Pelodiscus sinensis: one gene and its partner. The protein of the gene in region 2 binds, or shares a complex with, the protein of the main gene of each other region. Links are inferred from orthologs where the notes say so. Each region holds a gene or a part of one and is shown on either strand. Other genes may lie near its edges.

Region 1 (10,035 bases), on a different chromosome or scaffold from region 2:
GTTGTCCTCACATTTAGCTTGTCAAAGTTCTACAAAATCCAAACAAAATGTACAGCAAATAAAAAATATCCAAGTCTTATAGAAACATCTCATTCTACCAGGAATTTCTGATCACCATGGAGATCTGCAATCACATAATTATCATTTTAACTAGGCCAGAGTAACTAAAAATGCCTCTCCCAAAGTGGCAGAGCGCTAGAAACCAAGACCTGTAGTAGCCACAAGAATGCTTTCCACAGCAAGAAAGCCAAGCCTGCACAAAGAAGCTTAAAAACTCTGCTGAACAGAGCTTTGCAAAACAGAGCAAATCCAAGGAGTCTGTGTACAGCACCAGACTTACGCCAACATTATCCCTGTGCAGAAAAAGAGAAATGAGAGAAAATACTATCGGGATGGTTATAACGCAGCCCCAAGCTCATATGCAGCCAAATCAGGCACACAATGAGCACAAGGGCTTTTCAACCTTTGGGTCACAGAGCCTGGTTTCTAAGCAGGCTATTTTCTTTGTAGGCAGGCTAAGGGGCACGTGTGACACAAGTAGTACAGTAAAATTCCAGTGGTCTGGCATCCAATGGCCCGGCACCATCTGGAACCCGGAAGTGCTCCGGGCAGCCAGACAATTGGAGCTGCTCTGCCCCGGCTTTCCCGAGTCAGCCGCTGGTCAGTTTCAGCAGCGGCTGACTTGGGGACGCCTGGGGCAGAGCAGCTGGGGTGTTGCCGGGTTGGTCCCGTAGTGCTGCCCCTCGGCATATCTGATAATCTGGCACACCCTGGGTCCTAAAGGTGCCGGATTACCGGAAGTTTACTGTAGTGTGTTTGTATCTACACGTGTGCACAAACACAATCCTGTAATCCTCTTACCTTCAGCAGCAAGGGCCACTGAGACGTGTCCAGCTGAGCCACTCGGGATTCAGGTTTGATGAAAAATTCTTCTGTGTGCTGTATCTCCTGGGAAGAGAAATCACAGATCAGAGAAATGGAGCTGACATGCAAAGCATCTTTAATCTCTCTCTTACAAGTTATTGCGAGCATATCTTACATAATTCCCTTCAATGACAGCTACTCCAAAGCAACATAACCACAGCACCATCAACTTGTTGCAAAACGATCATTGTCTAGAAAGGTTATTGCTGCAACAGCAGGTAAAACTAAAAAGTTTGACATAATGGAACATGGCCCCTCAGAACTCCATGGGAAGGAAAAGTACTAAGGATGGCTACACATTTGAATGCAGAATACTTATCCCAGTCTGCTCCCTTCTTTCATGTAAACGCTAGTGAAGTTTCAGTTCCATACCCCTGGGACTGTGCCATTATCAACACCACAGAAAGGAGGCCATTCTCCAAAACACTATGGGGGCTGAATCTCTTTCAACACATTATAAAAAAAGCAAAAGCTAAACTAAGATTATGTCTGCACTAGAACTTTTATCAATCAGAGGTGTAAAAGGAAGCATACCCAAGCCAGCATAAGTTTCACCAATGGAAGCACAGGTGTGGACAGCTGTACCTCGGTAGGAGCTTCTCTCCTACCAACATAGCAACTGCTGTTCACTGGGAGTGGTTTAATTACGTTCCCACTGGCATACAGCAGTTACATGGGAGACCGTACAGCAGCATAGCTGCAGTGGTATAGTCATGCCACTGTAAGGCTTGCAAAGCAGAGACAGTCTTAGTTAAGGAACTTCTCCAATTAAAAACAAAAAAAAGACATGGGTAATCACACGTGTCTTAATGAATGCACACAATTTGAAAGGAAAAAATGCTAGACGTTTCTCTAGACTTCTAGAGAAGAACAAATGGGGTGGAAAAAAAGCCTAAATCCCAATTTAGGACAGCTTTTCTTAAAAAAAAAAAAAAAAAAACTCATTCTAAGCACAAGGTTCTCTGCCTCCTTACTACCAGCTAAACCTGTAGTCAGTTGTAGCACAAATGTCATTCCATTGGATCTTAAACAGCTATTTTAGCCTCAAGAGATTTACATGAATTAACTGCTAATATCTGTTTAGTAGACAGACATTCACAGCCCCCCCCCTCCAGTTTTATTTGTCTATGCACTTAGTGAGTCATTGGACCAAGGAGAGGTGCTGATTCAGGACAAAGACGTCTTCATTCTCCGACATAACACTATCCCACCTCAGGTCCTTGTGTCCCCATGGACAGCATACACCAAAACCAAGGCAAGAAACAACACTACCCTGCCTTCCGTCCTGCTGCTTCTTTCCCCTCCATCCTCCAAATGAAGGCCTAAAATGGCAACCATTTAGGTTACTGTAGCTACATTTACACTACAGCCCAGATGGATGCGCTGAGATTGATGAACTGGTGATCAATTTAGTAGGTCTAGTGAAGACCTGACAAATCAACCGCAGATCACCATTCTAATTCACCCTGTTACTTTACCTGGAAGAGAAGAGTAAGGGAAGTGGATGGGAGAGTTTCTCTTGTCAGCCCCCCATAGAGAAGACCTCAAGGTAACTGGAACTAAGGTATGCGGACTCCAACTGGTAGCTAGAATTGCATAGCTTAAGTCAACTTTCTGTTGTAGTGTGAATAACATTGTTAAAATGAATTTAAGTAATTGTGTAAACGTGAAGAGAGAAGGCTCCCTGCATGTATGGCAGTCCTGGGCAAAATCTGGCCCACGAAGCCACCAGATTCAACCTGCAGAGGCAGCAGGGAGCCCCTGGCAGGCTCCCTTTCTTGCCCCATGCAGAAACAAGGCTGCAGGGCTCCATTTAAAGTTTTAAGAACCGCCCTGCCCTCAGTATATTTCCATTGGCTGGTTTCTAGCAGAAACCAGCCAATGCGAGCTGCTTGTTAGAACAACAGGCAGCTAAGAAGAGTCACGCCCCCTCTCCTAGACCCAGTTCTCCATGAAGCACATGGCCAGGCAGGCAGGCTGGCTGGCTAACATTGTAAGCTCTGCAGGTAGGCAGGCTACTTTGGCAGCTGACAAGTCTCTCAGCCATACCCTGCTTCTGGCACCCTAGCCCTTTCCTGCCCCAACTCTCTCCCCTCTCCCCCAACATACCCAAGCCTTCTGTCCCCCTCTTACACCTATACCCCCTCCCATATCTGGCACCCAACTCCCTCCCAGACTCCAGTCTCCCTCCTGCATCCCAGACCCTTACCCCAAGCGCCCTTCTGCACCCAACCTCCATCCCAGACCCCACATCTCCATTAATACTATGGAAGAATGTGGCCCTCAACCACTTTCCACAATTTTGGGAAGGGCCTCCCTTCAAAAATTATTGCCCACCCCTAGGCTACGTCTAGACTGGCATGATTTTCCGCAAAAGCTTTTAACAGAAAAGTTTTTCCATTAAAAGCATTTGCGGAAAAGAGCGTCTAGATTGGCACAGACACTTTTGTGCAAAAGTACTTTTTGCAGAAAAGCGTCCGTGCCAATCTAGACGCGGTTTTGCGAAGGCGAAAATGGCAATTGGGGCTATCGGGGCTTTTTTGCGCAAAATAGTTTTTAGCTGTCTACACTGGCCGTCCTACGCAAAAGCATTTGCACAAGAGGGCTTTTTCCCGAGCGGGAGCAGCATAGTATTTGTGCAAGAACACCGACGATCTTACATTAGATCGTCAGTGTTCTTGCGCAAATTCAAGTGACCAGTGTAGACAGTTGTCAAGTTTTTCTGCGGAAAAACTTGCCAGTGTAGATGCAGCCCTAGTGTACAGGGCGGCAGGTGGCTCCCTGGGAGCTGATGCACATGGGGAGATGGCTGTTAAGCCGGCTTCCCATGCATATAAGGAGCCTGCATGTAACCATGCGCATTAATTGATGAGCCCAGGCTTATTGGTTAACTGTGCGCATAGATACACTTTTACATCCCTTATTAAAACGGTTAGGGCTTTTCTTCAGTACATGTGCTCTATTTATTGCATCCTTCAGATATGCTAAATCAGTCTCTAAGCACTCTCCCTTCGGCTGGGGCACTGCACCAGGATGAGGAGAGCATCAGCCCCCTCCCCTCGCACCTCAATGCATGGAAGACACCACGTGGCGTGCTGACTTCAGCTAAGGCCGCGCAGCTGGAGCGGGCAATTGTGGAGCGGCCGCGGCCGCAGGGCGAGAGTCCAGACATGGCCCCGAGACACGGTTCTAACCCCCCCCCCCCAAAAGCGGCCGCCCGGCCCGTCAGGCCGACGCCCGAGCCAGGCTGCAGGCCAGCGGGGGGAGGGGCGCCACGAGGAGCCCGCCGGCCCCGCGGAGACTCACCGCGACATCGGCGTCCGCCAGAGACTTCTCCTTCCTCCGCTTGTGCCGCCGCGCGCCCCCTGCGCGGGACAGAGCGGGGGGGTCAGCCCGGGGCGCCGCGCGGAAACCCCCCCGCGGCCTGGAGCCACCGCCCAACGGCCGGGCCCCCTCCCCCGCGGCCCCCGCCCCCCCGAGCCACCGCCCAACGGCCGGGCCCCCCCCCGCGGCCCCGAGCCACCCCCCCGCGGCTCCCGCCCCCCCCCCGAGCCACCCCCCCGCGGCCCCGAGCCACCCCCCCGCGGCCCCCGCCCCCCCGAGCCACCGCCCAACGGCCGGGCCCCCCCCCGCGGCCCTCGCCCCCGCGGCCCCGAGCCACCCCCCCGCGGCCCCCGCCCCCCCCCCGAGCCACCCCCCCGCGGCCCCGAGCCACCCCCCCGCGGCCCCCGCCCCCCCGAGCCACCGCCCAACGGCCGGGCCCCCCCCCGCGGCCCTCGCCCCCGCGGCCCCGAGCCACCCCCCCGCGGCTCCCGCCCCCCCCCCGAGCCACCCCCCCGCGGCCCCGAGCCACCCCCCCGCGGCCGGGCCCCCCCCCCGAGCCACCCCCCCGCGGCCCCGAGCCCCCCCCCCCCCGCAGCCCCCGCCCCCCCGAGCCATCCTCCCGCGGTCCCCGCCCCCCCGAGCCCCCCCCCCCGCAGTCCCCGCCACCCCCGGGGCCCAGAGCCACCGCCCAACGGCCGGGCCCCCGCCGCCCCGACACAGGCCCAGGCCCCCCGTGCCCCTCACCTTCCCCGTCCGCCATCTTCGCCGCTCGCCCCGCCAGCCGCGTGCAGCCGCCACCGCGCGCGCAGAGAGACTGGCGGGCCGCCCCCGTCCCGAGATGCACCGCGCGCGGGCCCGGCCCCGTCACGTGCTCAGGCGCCCGGAGGGGGAGGAGCTGCCGGCCCGCCACGTGACGAATCGGGCCGGGCCCGCGTGAGGCTCAGCCCGCCCCCGCCAGGATCCAGGCGCCCGGAAGCTGTTACAGCTGCGGGCAGCCGGCCCCGCAGAGGCGCACCCCGCCTTCCCGGGGCTCCGACCGCTGGGCCGGGCCCTTGTGCCGTGTAAACGCGGTGCCGAGGGGTTTGCCTTCCACAGAGGCCCGCTAGCATGGCAGGGCCCCCACCCAGCGGGAGGGATCCAGCCAGGAAAGCCCTTCCAAACCGCTTCCAGGCTTGCATGACTGTCTTAGGACTAAGCTTGTTTTGTCCCCTTTGCTGGACACATTCCTCGTTCAGTGGGTGAGTCTTCCACAACGGCAGGGCAGCTGCAACATTGTTCTTGCCCAATTTTATCTGAAAGGTGTAAGATACAGGAGTAGCTCTCTAACATTTGTATCCCTGGTATCGTGCTCTCTGGTACTGCACTTTGTTGCAAGGCTTGAGACTAACACAAACTCAGCTTCAAGACAAAGGAAACTCCATTCTGAGTTCCAGTAGAAAGATGCTTCATTAGTCATACCTCAGCGCATATGCCCATTTCAAAACATTAGTGTAAAGTTCACTCTTATATGCAAAAATCAGTTTACAGGTGCACGTAAAGTAACACACACACAAAATACCCATCCATTTCCAGCACTTTACAGGGACATTCTGTCTCCACTTCCTACTACGAGAAAGGCTTGAAGTATTTTTTTAAGCAGCTTCCAAACAGCCTCACTTTTATTCACACAAAAGACCAGGCACGCCACATAGTTTGAAGTCCAGAAGGTTCAATTTGTGTAAGAATTCAGTGTGCAAAAAGAACAAAATTGTTTCTTTAGGATACATAAATACAGTTAAAGGGAAAGCACAACTAAAGTTGATCCTCTGCTGGAAAACATTCTTTCCAGAAGATGGCCAGCAACATGCTCTTCTCAGGGCAGTTATCAGAGCTATTCTGCATTTTTCATCATGAAAATGCCATACAAACATTATACTTGCACCAGAGATTTGTAAAATGGGAATGCAAATACAAGTAGGAAAGCACACCTACAAAGAATAAACGATTTGTTCAAGACTAGAGTTAATAGTGTGGAACCAGCTTCCAGGCCCAGATTTAGTTCATTAGATCACAGACCGGGTCTACCATCCAATTTTTAATTCTCTTCATCATTAAAATAGAAAAGTTAAGAGTTAAAAACTAATTGTGCTTTACAGAGATCAGTTTTGCCCTCCCCTAGAATGCACACCTTAGCAAGTGTTGCAAAAGCATATCCGAGGACCAAAGTTACGGGTAAGTGTTCCCCCTACACCCATACATTCCTTTTAAACTGCTGTAACAGGCCTGATAAATAGCAAGATAGCATATGTAGCCAATGCCAAAATTAAACACATTCCACACCCACCTTTACTTACTTGTTGAATGAAACCAACAAAGTAGTGAGGCTAATGAGCTACAAGCAGGGACTCCTCCCCACATTTCCTAGGTTGTGGCTGGTGACACATTGAACAGTAATCAGTTTAAGACTATAATATTTACTGAATTATAGTTTAAAGAATGACAAGGCTTCAGGATAGATAGTTTTCTAGAGACACCAATGTATCTACAGCATTACATTAACAGAGCAAGAGCTTGGACGGAGAGCCAGGTAGTTAGAAAATACAAATCTCAGGCAACAGAAACACTGAAACAGAACCCGGACCAGAAGGGACATAACAATACAATTTTAGCTTCTCATTTAGTTTTTAAATGGAAAGAATTATGAGCACTTTAAACAGAAATGGTATTTTTGCTCACATACCTAAAACTACTCTAATTTTTAAACATACAGAAAAAATGCACTAATCATTATATCTACAAATGTGAGACTTTTAAACTAGAAGGCTGAATCCTGGCATTTGGGGACTGTTTGGAAAATGAGTGCCATTTGCAGTCTCTTAATAAAATATGGCAAGAGTCCTGCCTCTTACGAACTTGAGCTGTGATAGCACACAGTTTCTAATGGATCAGGTCATCTCCTGCAATAGGTATATTGAATCTGTGAGTGAGAGGAGTATGGGAGAAGTGCTGGGGCTGAAAAAGGACATTTCTCTATAACCAGAAGTAGTACATAGGAAGTGTTGGCATATCCACATTCCTCAGCCTCAAAGGGAAAATAGTCTCAAGTGGCATTACATAATTCTTGCCTATATGCTGATGGTCACAGGGAGATAGGTGAACTCTGGCTGCACAGTGGTGACAGGCCAAAATGGAACAACCCTGTGTATGGCTGCTGTGGGAAGCAGAACACCATGGTGGATGAAACGAGTCATGCTGGTAGTGATGCTGAGTAGGGCTTAGACTCTGTGGCTAGCAACAGAAAGGTACGACCACTTCCCTGGGGAACCAGGTGGGCTAATCTCTGGATGATTGCTGTAGGTGTATGAAGTTAATTTCTCTGGTGATGTTTGGTGAGTGTTTTGGGCTATATGAGGGAAATAGCAACAGATCAGTGAAGGTGCAGTTAGTCTGTGGAGATGGCAGACAATACAGAGATGCCATAGTGATGGCAGCTGAAGGTGGGCAAAGCCTATCCCGCTGGTGATGCTACTTGGGGACTCAGGAGTCCCACTGAGGCAAAAGCGGGTGGGTGGGGCAGGCCTCTCTTTCAGGTGGGAAACAGACTCCCTATGGAAGTGGCAGCAAGCAAGTGAAGCCAGTCTGGATGTGTGTGGGGGGGGACGGACTCAGGACCCCTGACCAGCAGGACTGATCATCTCTTGCAGCACTAGATGGAGCAGGTGGTTCTGCTCAGGGCTGAGCAGCGGCCAGAGCTCAGCTTGCAACACCTTGAGCGCCTCCAGGTCCTTCTCCTGACAGGCCATGACAGCGGACTGCAGCAGGAGGAAGAGGCCCGGAGGCAAGTACCCCGCCTGGGGGAGCTGCCCGGCCCCCGCCCCGCTCTCGAAGGCCTCCCAACAGTACTTCTCCAGGGTCTGGGCATGCTCCGGCAGTAGCTTGGGTGGCGGTGGCTGGAGCAGCAGCAGCAGCAGCACCCGCGACACCTCGCAGCGCACCAACACCTCCAGGAACGCGCCGCTGGGAGGGCTGGGCCCAGCCTGGGCCAGCAGCTGCGCCTGGGTGAGCACAGCCAGGGCCCCGTCGTAGTCGCGGCTGAGCAGCAAGCAGGAGGCCAGCTCGCCCAGGCAGCGCAGGGCCTCCAGGGGCAGCTGGGCGGCCGCCAGCAGCTCGGCGGCGCGCTGGAACTGCGGGGCGGCCTGGCCGGGCTGCTCCATGTCCCGCAGCGCCGCGCCCAGCTCCAGGCACAGCCCGGCCGCCAGCGCCGGCTGCCCCAGCTCCAGGTGCAGGCGCGCGGCGAAGGCGAAGCAGCTGTGCGCGGCCTGCAGGTGCTCGGCGAAGCCGCCGCTCAGGCCCAGGCGCTGCCGCAGGTCCCGCTCCTGGCGCAGGAAGAGGCGCGCGGCCTCGCTCAGCGCCTGCGCCTCGCCGGGCGCGTGGAAGAGGCTCTGGGCGCAGCGCGCCACGGCCAGCTGGCACCAGGCGGCGTAGGGCAGCGCGTCCTGGGCCCGCAGCTCGCGCGCCAGCGCCGCGAACTGCTCCGCCGCCTCCGACACGTTCGGCTTCCGCAGGAAGCGCCGCCGCAGCTTGGCCGACACCAGCCGGTAGCGCGCCAGGAAGTCCCCGTCCCAGCCGGGGCCGCCCGCCGCCGGGCCCGCGCCCGAGCCGCCCGCCGCCGCCATGCCGCCGGAAGTCGCCCCGGAAGTGACGCCGCAGCCAGAGCGCCAGCGGAAGGGGCGGGGCCCTGCCGGGAAAGGCCGGCTGGGCGCCGAAAGCAGGGGGCGCTAGAGCGCGGCGCGCGGTATGGCCAGTGCTGCAGCCCCGCTCCCCAGCACGAGCGCCTCCTACCGCCGCGCCCAGGCACCGCACCCTGCCCCCCAGCGCCTCCTACCGCCGCGCCCAGGCACCCGCACCCTGCCCCCCAGCGCCTCCTACCGCCGCACCCAGGCACCCGCACCCTGCCCCTGCCCCCCAGCGCCTCCTACCGCCGCGCCCAGGCACCACACCCTGCCCCCCAGCGCCTCCTACCGCCGCGCCCAGGCACCCGCACCCTGCCCCCCAGCGCCTCCTACCGCCGCACCCAGGCACCCGCACCCTGCCCCTGCCCCCCAGCGCCTCCTACCGCCGCGCCCAGGCACCCGCACCCTGCCCCTGCCCCTGCCCCCCAGCGCCTCCTACCGCCGCGCCCAGGCACCCGCACCCTGCCCCCCAGCGCCTCCTACCGCCGCACCCAGGCACCCGCACCCTGCCCCTGCCCCCCAGCGCCTCCTACCGCCGCGCCCAGGCACCCGCACCCTGCCCCCCAGCGCCTCCTACCGCCGCGCCCAGGCACCCGCACCCTGCCCCCCAGCGCCTCCTACCGCCGCGCCCAGGCACCCGCACCCTGCCCCCCAGCGCCTCCTACCGCCGCGCCCAGGCACCCGCACCCTGCCCCCCAGCGCCTCCTACCGCCGCGCCCAGGCACCCGCACCCTGCCCCTGCCCCTGCCCCCCAGCGCCTCCTACCGCCGCGCCCAGGCACCCGCACCCTGCCCCTGCCCCTGCCCCCCAGCGCCTCCTACCGCCGCGCCCAGGCACCCGCACCCTGCCCCTGCCCCTGCCCCCCAGCGCCTCCTACCGCCGCGCCCAGGCACCCGCACCCTGCCCCCCAGCGCCTCCTACCGCCGCGCCCAGGCACCCGCACCCTGCCCCCCAGCGCCTCCTACCGCCGCACCCAGGCACCCGCACCCTGCCCCCCAGCGCCTCCTACCGCCGCGCCCAGGCACCGCACCCTGCCCCTGCCCCCCAGCGCCTCCTACCGCCGCGCCCAGGCACC
Region 2 (10,303 bases):
TATGTAATGCTGGGGAGGGGCCGGTGGTCGTGGTACATGTAGGTACCAATGACAAAGGGAAGGGTAGGAGAGAGGTTCTGGAGGCCAAATTTAGGCTGCTAGGAAAGACTGAAATCCAGGACCTCTTTGGTGGCACTCTCAGAAATGCTTCCAGTTCCATGTGCAGGGCCAGGTAGGCAGGCAAAGCTTCAGAGTCTCAATGCATGGATGAGACGATGGTGTAGAGAGGAGGTGTTTAGATCTATTAGGAACTTAGGAAACTTTTTGGGATGGGGGCATCTATACAGGAACGATGGGCTCCACCTAAACCAAAATGGAACCAGACAGCTGGCATTTAACATTAAAAAGATTGTAGAGCAGTTTTTAAACTAAGGGCTGGGGGAAAGCCAACAGGTGTGGAGGAGCACATGGATCGATCAGAGACATCTATTGGGGAGGTTCTATTAATAGAGATACTCTATGTTCTAATAAGGAGGAGAGGATGAAAGTATGGGTCGGATCAGATAAGACACAATAAAATGAAAAAGAGTCTAACACATCAGGAAATGGCAGCCAGATAATTTGTCACAAATTATTAAAGTGCTTATACACAAATGCTAGAAATCTAAATAGTAAAATGGGAGAACTAGAGTGCCTAGTTTTAAAGGAGGATATTGATATAATAGGCATCACAGGGTTAAAAAGCTTGAGGATATGTCTACACAGCAATGTTATTTAGGAATAACTGATGTTATTTCAAAAGAAAATGTGAGTCTACTCAGCAAGCTATTATTTTGAAATAATGTCGAGATAAAGGACTTCTTACTCTGGCTCCTGTAACCCTCATTTTGCAAGGAGTAAAGGAAGTAAAGGAAGAATGTTCTTCCTTCGACTTCCTGCTGCGTAGACAGCACTAAATGCCAAATTAAGCTATTTTGACTATAGCTACGCAATTGGCGTAGCTGAAGTTGCGTATCTGAATTTGACTTTTGCCCTGCAGTGTTGACATGCCCTAGGGTACCCCACAGGAAGAAATTGTCTTCCGGGACTCTCAAGGGTTTTTTGCATTTGGATGGTTGCAGTGTACCACCCAAAGTCAGGGAACGTTTGGGGAAGTGTTAAAAAACAAACAAACAAACAAAAACCACAGAAGCCTCTAGTGGCAGGGTATTTTTAAGATTTCTTGTGGGTCCCCACCTACTGCATTCAAAGTGCCAGAGTGGGAAACCGCATTGACATGGTGGCAGAGGTGGAATAATTTTGAACCAGGAACACAGAACTCAATTTTAAAAGGATGCTTTTTCCCCCCCTTTTGACTATTTGAAAGTTTAGGGATTTTTTTTCTTTTACTGCCTGCGGGGAAAAAAGGCTCACAGAAAGTTCAACTTGCAAAGCCAGTGATCCAAACCAAATTATTTTTTTTATAGCTTTCAGGGCAACTGAAGCTACAGAAGGGCCAGAAAATAGCCTAGTGCTCATATTTGCAGTTGGGCAGAGTAGCCCAGGAGCAACCAATCTCGACAAAACAGCCAAACGAGATCAGGGCCAGATGTTCATCTCCAAGGCAGAGCTGCACAGTGAAAATAAGGATGGATGTCATTGAAGGGCCAGAGGGGAGTAACCTCAAAGGGCAAGGAACAGATGGTGGCGGTCATGTTCCTCCCATATCACAGAACCTGTTTTAATTCAAATCTCTCACTCTCTTCCCATTGGCTCTCCTGGCTCCCTGATAACACTTCCTGGAGACCCACTGTCTTTGGGTTTAACCCTTTACAGGCAATTTAATTAATAGAATGGCTGATATGTCTAGAAAAGATCTCTTGTGGATACCCCTTCCATCCATCACAAGCTCTAATTAAACAAAAATTACGGTTTCTTTTTCAATGTTTAGATCCGGGATGGGGAACCTCCAGCATGGTAGCCAGATGCGGCCCGCCAGGCACTTTGTTTATGTGAGTGTCTGCAGGCACGGCCACTCGCAGCTCCAGTGGCCACAGTTCACCGTTCCTGTCCAATAGGAGCTGCGGGAAGTGGTGTAACCCACACACCTAATGTGGTTACTAAGCAGTGCAAGTGGTACCTAGACCACAGCAACAGTTAAGCTCAAGAGACCTCTACAGCTGGGGCTGAGAGCCAGCTGGCTTTTAGCTCCCAAGGTAGAGGCTCCTATACTCCGCGTCAGAGATCCCAGGTTCAAATCCACACAGTGGCAGTTACAGTGACACAGCTTCCTGAAGCTCCTATTGGCTGGGAATGTCAAACTACAGCCACTAGGAGCTGTGAGCAGCCATGTGGACACTCAGGAAAACAATGCATTTGGTGGCCCACCAAGCTAACCCTGGTGAATTGCCCACAGGCCAGAGGTTCCCTGTCCCTGGTTTTGATGGTAGCATAGAGGCTGCACTTCCCAAAACTGGGCCACTTTGGTCCGGCAACATCCGTGGTTCAGTGCCAGAGAGCCCTGGGGCTTGGAGTCTCGTGGCAGGAGGGCTTGTGGCAGTAAAACTGAGGCCGGCAGGGCTTGGGGGCCAGACGGCCAGGGCAGAGTGCCCAGCCAGGCTATAGGCAGGGGCCAATGGCCCGGCCAGGCTAGAGGCAGGGGGGCAGCCAGGGTGGAAACATAACCTGCAGTAGGGAAGGGCCAGCAGCCCAGCTGGGCTAGAGACAGTGGGGGATGGCCAGGGCAGAAGTGGAGGCAGTGGGGGGTGACAGGGCTGGTGGCAGGCAACCTCTCCTGGTCCAGCAAATTTCCCTCTTTTTGGACCAGGGAGGGCCAACCCGAACAAGGAAAACATAAAGGCATGGAACCATATGAATGTAATCTTACATTTAACCCTCACTCTCATCTAGCTGCAGCCTAGGAGCCTGGTGACACGTGCTCATCCATCACCATCAGGGGAGGGAAGAACCACCCCGCTGCAGGGCTTGTGGCAGAAGAAGCTAAGATTCAGCCCGACCCCCCCCCCGCTCCCTCCCTCCCCCCCCAGGGCCAAGCGATTACCTGGCCCCACACGGAAAAGTAAACATCTGAGTGGCTGCTGTCTTACAAGACAATGTGCAGGCTCTAACTCGCACGCAAGCCCAGGCGCGGGAGACAAGCGAGAGGAAAGCACCGAGACAGAAGAGCGAGCATAGGCAGCCCGCGCGGGGCACTGCAGCCTCGCTCTTTCCATGGGAAGAGGAGAAAAGGCAGCGGAGCGCCCCTTCCTGCTCTGGAACTAGCCTCTGCTCCGCAAAAGCAAGGTCAGTCCGCAGCCGGGGCAAGCAGCCGGGAACTATTCGCGCCGCCAAAGCATAAGGCTTGCGATGGAGGCAGCAAGTGCCCCGTGAGGCACGCCAGCCCTACAGCCCCCTCCCCAGTCGCCGCCGCCGCCGCAAGTACCTGCTGGAAGGAGACAGGCTGGGGGATGGCTCTGGCTCCCCGGGGGACGCACACCACGCACTGGGCCACGAACGCCTGGTACAGCTCGGAGTCTCCCTGCTGCAGCAGCTCAGCGTGGCCCGGCCCGCACGCTGCCGCCTCCCGGAGCCTCTGCACGAACCGCTCGAGCCCCAGCACTTCAGCGTAGCAGCCCTCCAGCATGGCCAGCACGGCACGGAACGGCCCGGCGCCCGCCATGCTTCTGGAGCCGGGCAGCGCAGCGGCGCTAATGGCTCCGAGAGGCTCGCGCCTCGCCCGCCGCCGCCGCCGCCGCTGCTGCTGCTGCTGCACCTCGCGCGTTCCCCGGGCCGAGAGCAGCTGCGGGCGCGGCGCGCTCCCCCGGGCCCGGGTCCAACAGGAAACCCCAGGTGCCCTCGGCTCCAGTAAGTGCTCGCACTGCGCGCAAGGCCTGCACGAGCCCCCATGGAAGGGCCGCCCTTACCCCGCGCGCCGGAGCCCCCCCCCGCCCCCAGGAGCTGGAACGGGAGGGGAGGGGGGCGCTATGCAGGAGCTGAGATGGAGGGCGGGCTAGGGGCTGGGCTGGAGGAAGGTGCTGCGTGTGTGGCAGTAAACTGCTCCCACAAGCTCTTTGTCTCACAGTAAGAGGTAGGGTTGCAGCCCAGCAAAACATGTAGAGGGCAGCATGAGCTTTCCTGGGCATAACCCACATCTTCAGGTGAAAGAAGTAGGTTGTGCCCACGAAAGCTCAGGTACCATCTCCAGGTGGTGTTAGTCTCACAGGTGCCACAAGACTATTTAAGTTTTTCCAGTGATAGAAATGTAGCCGTGTTAGTCTGGGGTAGCTGAAGCAAAATGCAGAACAATGTAGCACTTTAAAGACTAACAAGATGGTTTATTAGATGATGAGCTTTCGTGGGCCAGACCCACCCACGAAAGCTCATCATCTAATAAACCATCTTGTTAGTCTTTAAAGTGCTACATTGTCCTGCATTTTGCTTAAGTTTTTCCAGTTACAGACCTGCTCCGCTATCCCTCTGATGCTTTTCAACTTCCCTGCAGGTTCATGTAAACCAGGACATTCCCAAATAGTGGTGTTATCCCGCAGCCACACTGCCAGGTTTGGTTAGCCCATGTTAGGTCAATGTACAGCCACCAACTTTTGTGTAAGGCTTGCGCACATGCCTACTTGGGCATTTGTGGTCATCACACATGAATGATTGCCTCAGTGGTGCAGCATCACCCGTAAGTATCTCATTGTGCCTCAGGCTGCCACCTGGCTCCATGTGTTGTGCTATACTTGTGATTTACCAATGGATTAGTGGGAGCTGAAAGTCATGTTCACACAGGGCCATTAACTCCCACTGTCCAGTGTACCACAGCACTCTGGCGGAAACAGGGACCCTGTGCTGAACAGTTCTCTTGAGTTTTGCTAATGCAGAATCATGATGCATGATTCTCCTAAGTTGCAGAACTTGAACAAGTACTATTACAACCTAGGGTTAGCACATGTCTAGGTTTTCCTGGACCCCTTTATTGCCTCTTAATTGAAAAAAAAATGTGCCTGAACAAAGGAGAGAGGATCTAAAAAGAAGACACTAAGGCTGTGTCTACCCGGCCACGTGTTCTTGCACAAGTAAACTGACGTTCTACTGTATGAAATCAGAGTTTCTTACACGAGAACTCTGATGCTCCCTCTCAGGAAGAAGCTCTCTTGTGCAAGAGCTCTTCCAGAAGAGGCCAGTGTAGACAAGCAACATGAATTTCTTGAGCAAGAAGCCCCTTTGGTTAAAATGGCCATCAGAGCTTTCTTGCAAAGAGAAAGTCCACATTGCCATGGATGCTCTTGCGCAAAAGCACATCTCTTGCACAGAAACACATGCCAGTGTAGACACGCTCTTGTGGAAGACTTTTTGTGCAAGAAGTCTTCCGCAAAACAGTTCTTGTGGAAGAAGCTGCCAGTGTAGATGTAGCCTAGAAAGAGCCCATTCTGTGCCCCCATTGGTCCATTCCCAAGCAGGCCTGCACTGATGCATTAATTGACAGCATTATCCAGGTCCTAGGGTTTCACTAGCTACTTTCCTACAAAGAACAATATTGACCTCCCACACCAGATGTAATAATATCCCTGTGGTGGGAAAAATACCTCAGCAGCCCAACACTAGCATTTAATTTCAGAAAGGGGAACTACACAAACAAGGAGGTTAAACAGAAATTAAAAGGTACAGTTATAAAAGTAAAAGCTCTGCAAGCTGCATGGAAACTTTTAAAAGACACCATAGCACCAGGCCCAACTTAAAAGTATAACCCAAATTAAAAAACGCAGTAAGGCTATGTCTACACTATGAGTTTTGCTGAAAAAGGCAATTCAAAATGAAGTGCGGATTAGCATTTTCTCACGCTTCATTTTCATAATCTTCTGATCCGTTTTTGCGCAAGGAGTTTTTGTGCAAAAACAAGCAGTGTGGACATTTCCTTTTTACGCAAGATCTTTATACCTCCTTTTTTGAGGCATAAGGATCTTGTGCAAAAAGGGGGTTTTTCCACAAAAAGGAAACATCCACCCTGCTTGCTTTTGTGCAAAAACGGTTCGGAAAAGATTATGCAAATGAAGCACGAGAAAATACTAATCTGTGCTTCATTTGCATTGCCTCTTTCGGCTAAACTCAGTGTAGACATAGCCTCAGAGAACCAAAAACGTGTTGCTGTGGCTTAACAACCAGTAAAAGAATCAGTGAAATAGACATCTTTTAAAAAGTGGAAGTCAAATCCTAGTGGGAAAAATAGAAAGGAGCATAAACTTTGTCAAATTAAGTGTAAAAATATAAGAAAAGCCAAAACGGAGTTTGAAGAACAGCTAACTAAAAACTAATAGTAAAATGTTTAAGTACATCAGAAGCAGGAAGCCTGCTTAACCAGTTGAGTCCCTGGAAGATCAAGATGCTAAAGTAATTGCAGAGAAGCTAAATGAATTATTTAATTCAGAGATCCCCAAACCTGAGCCATTCTTTTTAGGTGACAAATCTGAGGAATTTTCCCAGATTGAGGTGTCATTAGAAAAGGTTTTGGAAAAAATCTGATAAACAGTAACAAGTCACCAGGACCAAATGGCATTCACCCTTGAGTTCTGAAAGAACTCAAATGGGAAATTGCAGAACTATTAACTGGTTTGTAACCTATCCTTCTGTACCTAATGATTGGAAGATAGCTAACGTGACGCCAATATTTAAAAAGGGCTCTAGAGGTGATCCTGGCAAAATCTAATGTCAGTACCAGACAAATTAGTTGAAACTATAGTAAAAAAATGAAATTGTCAGACACGTGGATGAACATAATTTGTTGGGGGAAGTCAACATGGTTTCTGTGAAGGGAAATAATGCGTTACTAATCTACTAGAGTTCTTTGAGAGGGTCAACACACATGTGGACAAAGGGGATCCAGTAGATATAGTGTACTTAGATTTCCAGAAAGCCTTTGACAAGATACCTCAGCCTCACCAAAGGCTCTTCAGTAAAATAAGTTGTCATGGGATAAGAGGGAAGGTCCGGACTAGTAATTGGTTAAAAGACAAGAAACAAAGGGTAGGAATAAATGGTAAGATTTCAGAGTGGAGAGCGATAACTAATGGAGCCCCCGAGGGTCTGCCCTGGGACCAATCCTATTCAATTTATTTATAAATGATCTAGAGAAAGGGATAAACAGTGAGGTGACAAAATTTGCATATGATACCAAACTGCTCAAGATAGTTAAGACCAAAGCAGACTGTGAAGAGCTTCAAAATGATCTCACCGCACTAAGTGATTGGGCAACAAAATGGCAAATGCAATGAAATGTTGATAAATGTAAAATAATTCACATTGGAAAAAATAATCCCAACTATACATACAATATGATGGGGACTAATTTAGCTACAGTTACTCAAGAGAGAGATCTTTGGAGTCATTGTGGATAGTTCCCTGAAAAACATACATTCAGTGTGCAGTGGCAGTCAAAAGTAACTAGAAAGTTAGGAATCATTAAAAAAAAAGAGAACATCTTATTGCTTCTATATAAAACCATGGTACACCCACATCTTGAATACTGAGTACAGCTGTGGTCGCCTCATCTCAAAAGAAATATGGGCATTGGAAAAGGTTCAGAAAAAGGCAACAAAAATTATTAGGGGTTTGAATGGGTCCTATGTGAAGAGAGATTAAAAAGACTTGGACTTTTCAGCTTAGAAAAGAGGTGACTAAGGGGGGATATGATAGAGGTCTATAAAATCATTACTTTGTTGTAGAAGGAGTGAGTAAGGAAAAGTTATTTACTTATTCCCACAATGAAAGAACTAGGGGTCGCCAAATGAAATTAATAGGAAGCAGGTTTAAAACAAACAAAAGGAAGTTTTCCTTTACTCAGTGCACAATCTGTGGAACTCCTTGCCGGAGGATGTGGTGAAGACTAGGATTTTAACAGGGTTAAAAAAAGAGCTAGATTCATGGAGGTTAGGTCCATCAATGGACATATTAGCTAGGATGGGTAGGAACCTTGTCCCTAGCCTCTGTTTATCTGGAAATGGATGACAGGAGAGGGATCACGTGATGAAGACCTGATTTTACCAAAAGAGAGCTTTGCAGAAAGAGAAAAGAAACTGGAATCTCTGATAGCTGACCCTCAGTCTTAGGCATCCATATATATAGTGTTTTACAAAAAACACCAAACATGGCAGGAAAAGAATTGGTTGAGCAAAAAAGAAAAAAAGAAAGAACCAAAAGTTAAAACAAAAAACCCCACCCCCCCAAAAAGACCAAAAAATAAGAGTCATGGACCCTTTGAATTCCTGCACTCCCCTGCTCCCACCAGACACAGCGGGGGAAGAATGTCCCAAGCAGCCTTCAATCCGAGAAAAACAGAAAATACCGTATATTTTACATGTCTGGTATTTTCAGGGTTTTTTTTTAAACCAGACAAAAGCCACAAATACCGACCGGACACCTGGCAACCCTATACATAGACCTCCTATGATCTTCCAGGACACAAGAATCAAATCATCACCTTAAAAAGGGTGCTTTTATTAAAACAAAAAGATATACTTGACTCCCTGGGATGCTTATGTGAAGGGGAAAGGAGTCCAGGAGAGCTGGCAGTATTTTAAAGAAGCCTTATTAAAAAGGCACAGGAAGAAACCATCCCCATGCACAGTAAGAAAAGCACATATGGTAGGCAACCAGATTGGCTTAAAGGGGACATCCTTGGTGAGCTTAAACACAAAAAGGAAGCTTACAAGAAGTGGAAACTTGGACAGATGACAAGGGAGGAGTATAAATATATTGCTCAAGAATGCAGGGAAGGCAAAAGCACAACTGGAATTGCAGCTAGCAAGGGATTTGAAGGGTAACAAGAAAAGCTTCTACAGGCATGTTAGCAATAAGAGTGATCAGAGAGGGTGTTGAGCCCTTACTGGATGAGGGAGGAAACCTAGTGACAAATGATGTTGGAAAAGCTCAAGTACTTGATGCTTTCTTTGCCTCTGTCTTCACAGACAAGGTCAGCTCCCAGACTAATGCACTAGGCAATGCACTATGGGAAGGAGGTGGACAGCCCTTGGTGGGGAAAGAACAGGTTAGGAACTGTTTAGAAAAGCTAAACATACACAAATCCATGGGTCCAGATTTAATGCATCTGAGGTTACCGAGGAAGTTGGCAAATGTCATTGCAGAGACTTTGGCCATTATTTTTGAAAACTTGTGGAAATCGGGAGGGATCCCAGATGATTGAATAAAAGGCAAATGTAGTGCCTATCTTTAAAAAAAGGGAAGGACAATCCAGGGAACTATAGTCCAGTCAGCCTTACCTCAGTCCCAGGAAAAATCATGGAAGGGATCCTTACGGAATCCATTTTGAAGCACTTGGAAGAGGGGAAGTGATCAGGAATAGTCAACATGGATTCACGAAGGGCAAGTCATGCCTGACCAATCTGATTAGCATCTATGATGAGGTAACTGGCACTGTGGATATGGGAAAGTCAGTGGATGTGATATACCTTGACTTTAGCAAAGCTGTTGATAGTCTCCCACAATATTCTTGCCAGCAAGTTAAGGGAATATGGATTGGATAAATGAACTGTAAGATGGATAGAAAGCTGGCTAGACTGTCAGGCCCAACAGGTAGTGATTAATGGCTCGATGTCAGGTTGGCTGTCGGTTTCTAGAGGAGTGTCCCAAGAATCAGTTCTAGGGCCGGTTTTGTTCAACATTTTTATTAATGGACCTGGATGAGGGGATGGATTACACCCTCAGCAAGTTTGCGGATGAAACTAAGCACGGGGGAGAGGTAGATATGCTGGAGGGCAGGGATAGAGTCCAGAGTGATCTAGACAGATTAGAGGATTGAGCCAAAAAGAAATTTGATGAGGTTCAACAAGGACAAGCGTAGAGTACTGCACTTGGGATAGAAAGATCCCAAGCATTGTTACAGGCTGGGGACCGACTGGCTAAATAGCAGTTATGCAGAAAAAGACCTGAGGAGTACAGTGGATGAAAAGCTGGATATGAGTCAACAGTGTGCCCTTGTAACCAAGAAGGCTAACAGCATATTAGGTTACATTAGGAGGAGCATTGCCAACAGATCTAGAGATGTGATTATTCCCCTTTATTCGGCTCTGGTGAGGCCACATCTGGAGTTGTGTGTCCAGTTCTGGGGCCCCCACTATGGAAAGGATGTGGATGCATTGGAGAGAGTCCAGCAGAGGGCCACCAAAATGATTAGGGGGCTGGAGTACATGACCTATCAGGAGAGACTGAGGGATTTGGGTTTGTTTAGTCAGCAGAAAAGAAGAGTGAAGGGGGATCTGATAGCAGCCTTTAACTTCCTGAAGGGAGGTTCCAAAGATGGAGAAAGGCTATTCTCAGTAGTGACAGATGGCAGAACAAGGAGAATGGTCTCAAGTTATAGTGGGGGAGGTCT

What was found. The genes of interacting proteins can lie anywhere in the genome.
Region 1: TERT (region 2) and DKC1 share a complex: the UniProt entries of both Homo sapiens proteins name them as parts of the telomerase holoenzyme complex. The link is inferred for Pelodiscus sinensis from reciprocal best matches to the Homo sapiens genes TERT and DKC1.

The regions. Positions count from the first base shown.
Region 1 is NC_134723.1:736,862-746,896, reverse strand, and holds the start of DKC1 (H/ACA ribonucleoprotein complex subunit DKC1), read right to left. Parts: upstream 5,100-10,035; 5' UTR 5,009-5,099; coding exon 4,993-5,008; intron 4,290-4,992; coding exon 4,231-4,289; intron 949-4,230; coding exon 862-948; intron 30-861; coding exon 1-29. Other genes in the region: 40-kDa huntingtin-associated protein-like, read right to left, coding at 7,893-8,903.
Region 2 is NC_134712.1:139,864,562-139,874,864, forward strand, and holds the start of TERT (telomerase reverse transcriptase), read right to left. Parts: upstream 4,076-10,303; 5' UTR 3,599-4,075; coding exon 3,362-3,598; intron 1-3,361. UniProt on the Homo sapiens protein: Telomerase is a ribonucleoprotein enzyme essential for the replication of chromosome termini in most eukaryotes. Active in progenitor and cancer cells. Inactive, or very low activity, in normal somatic cells.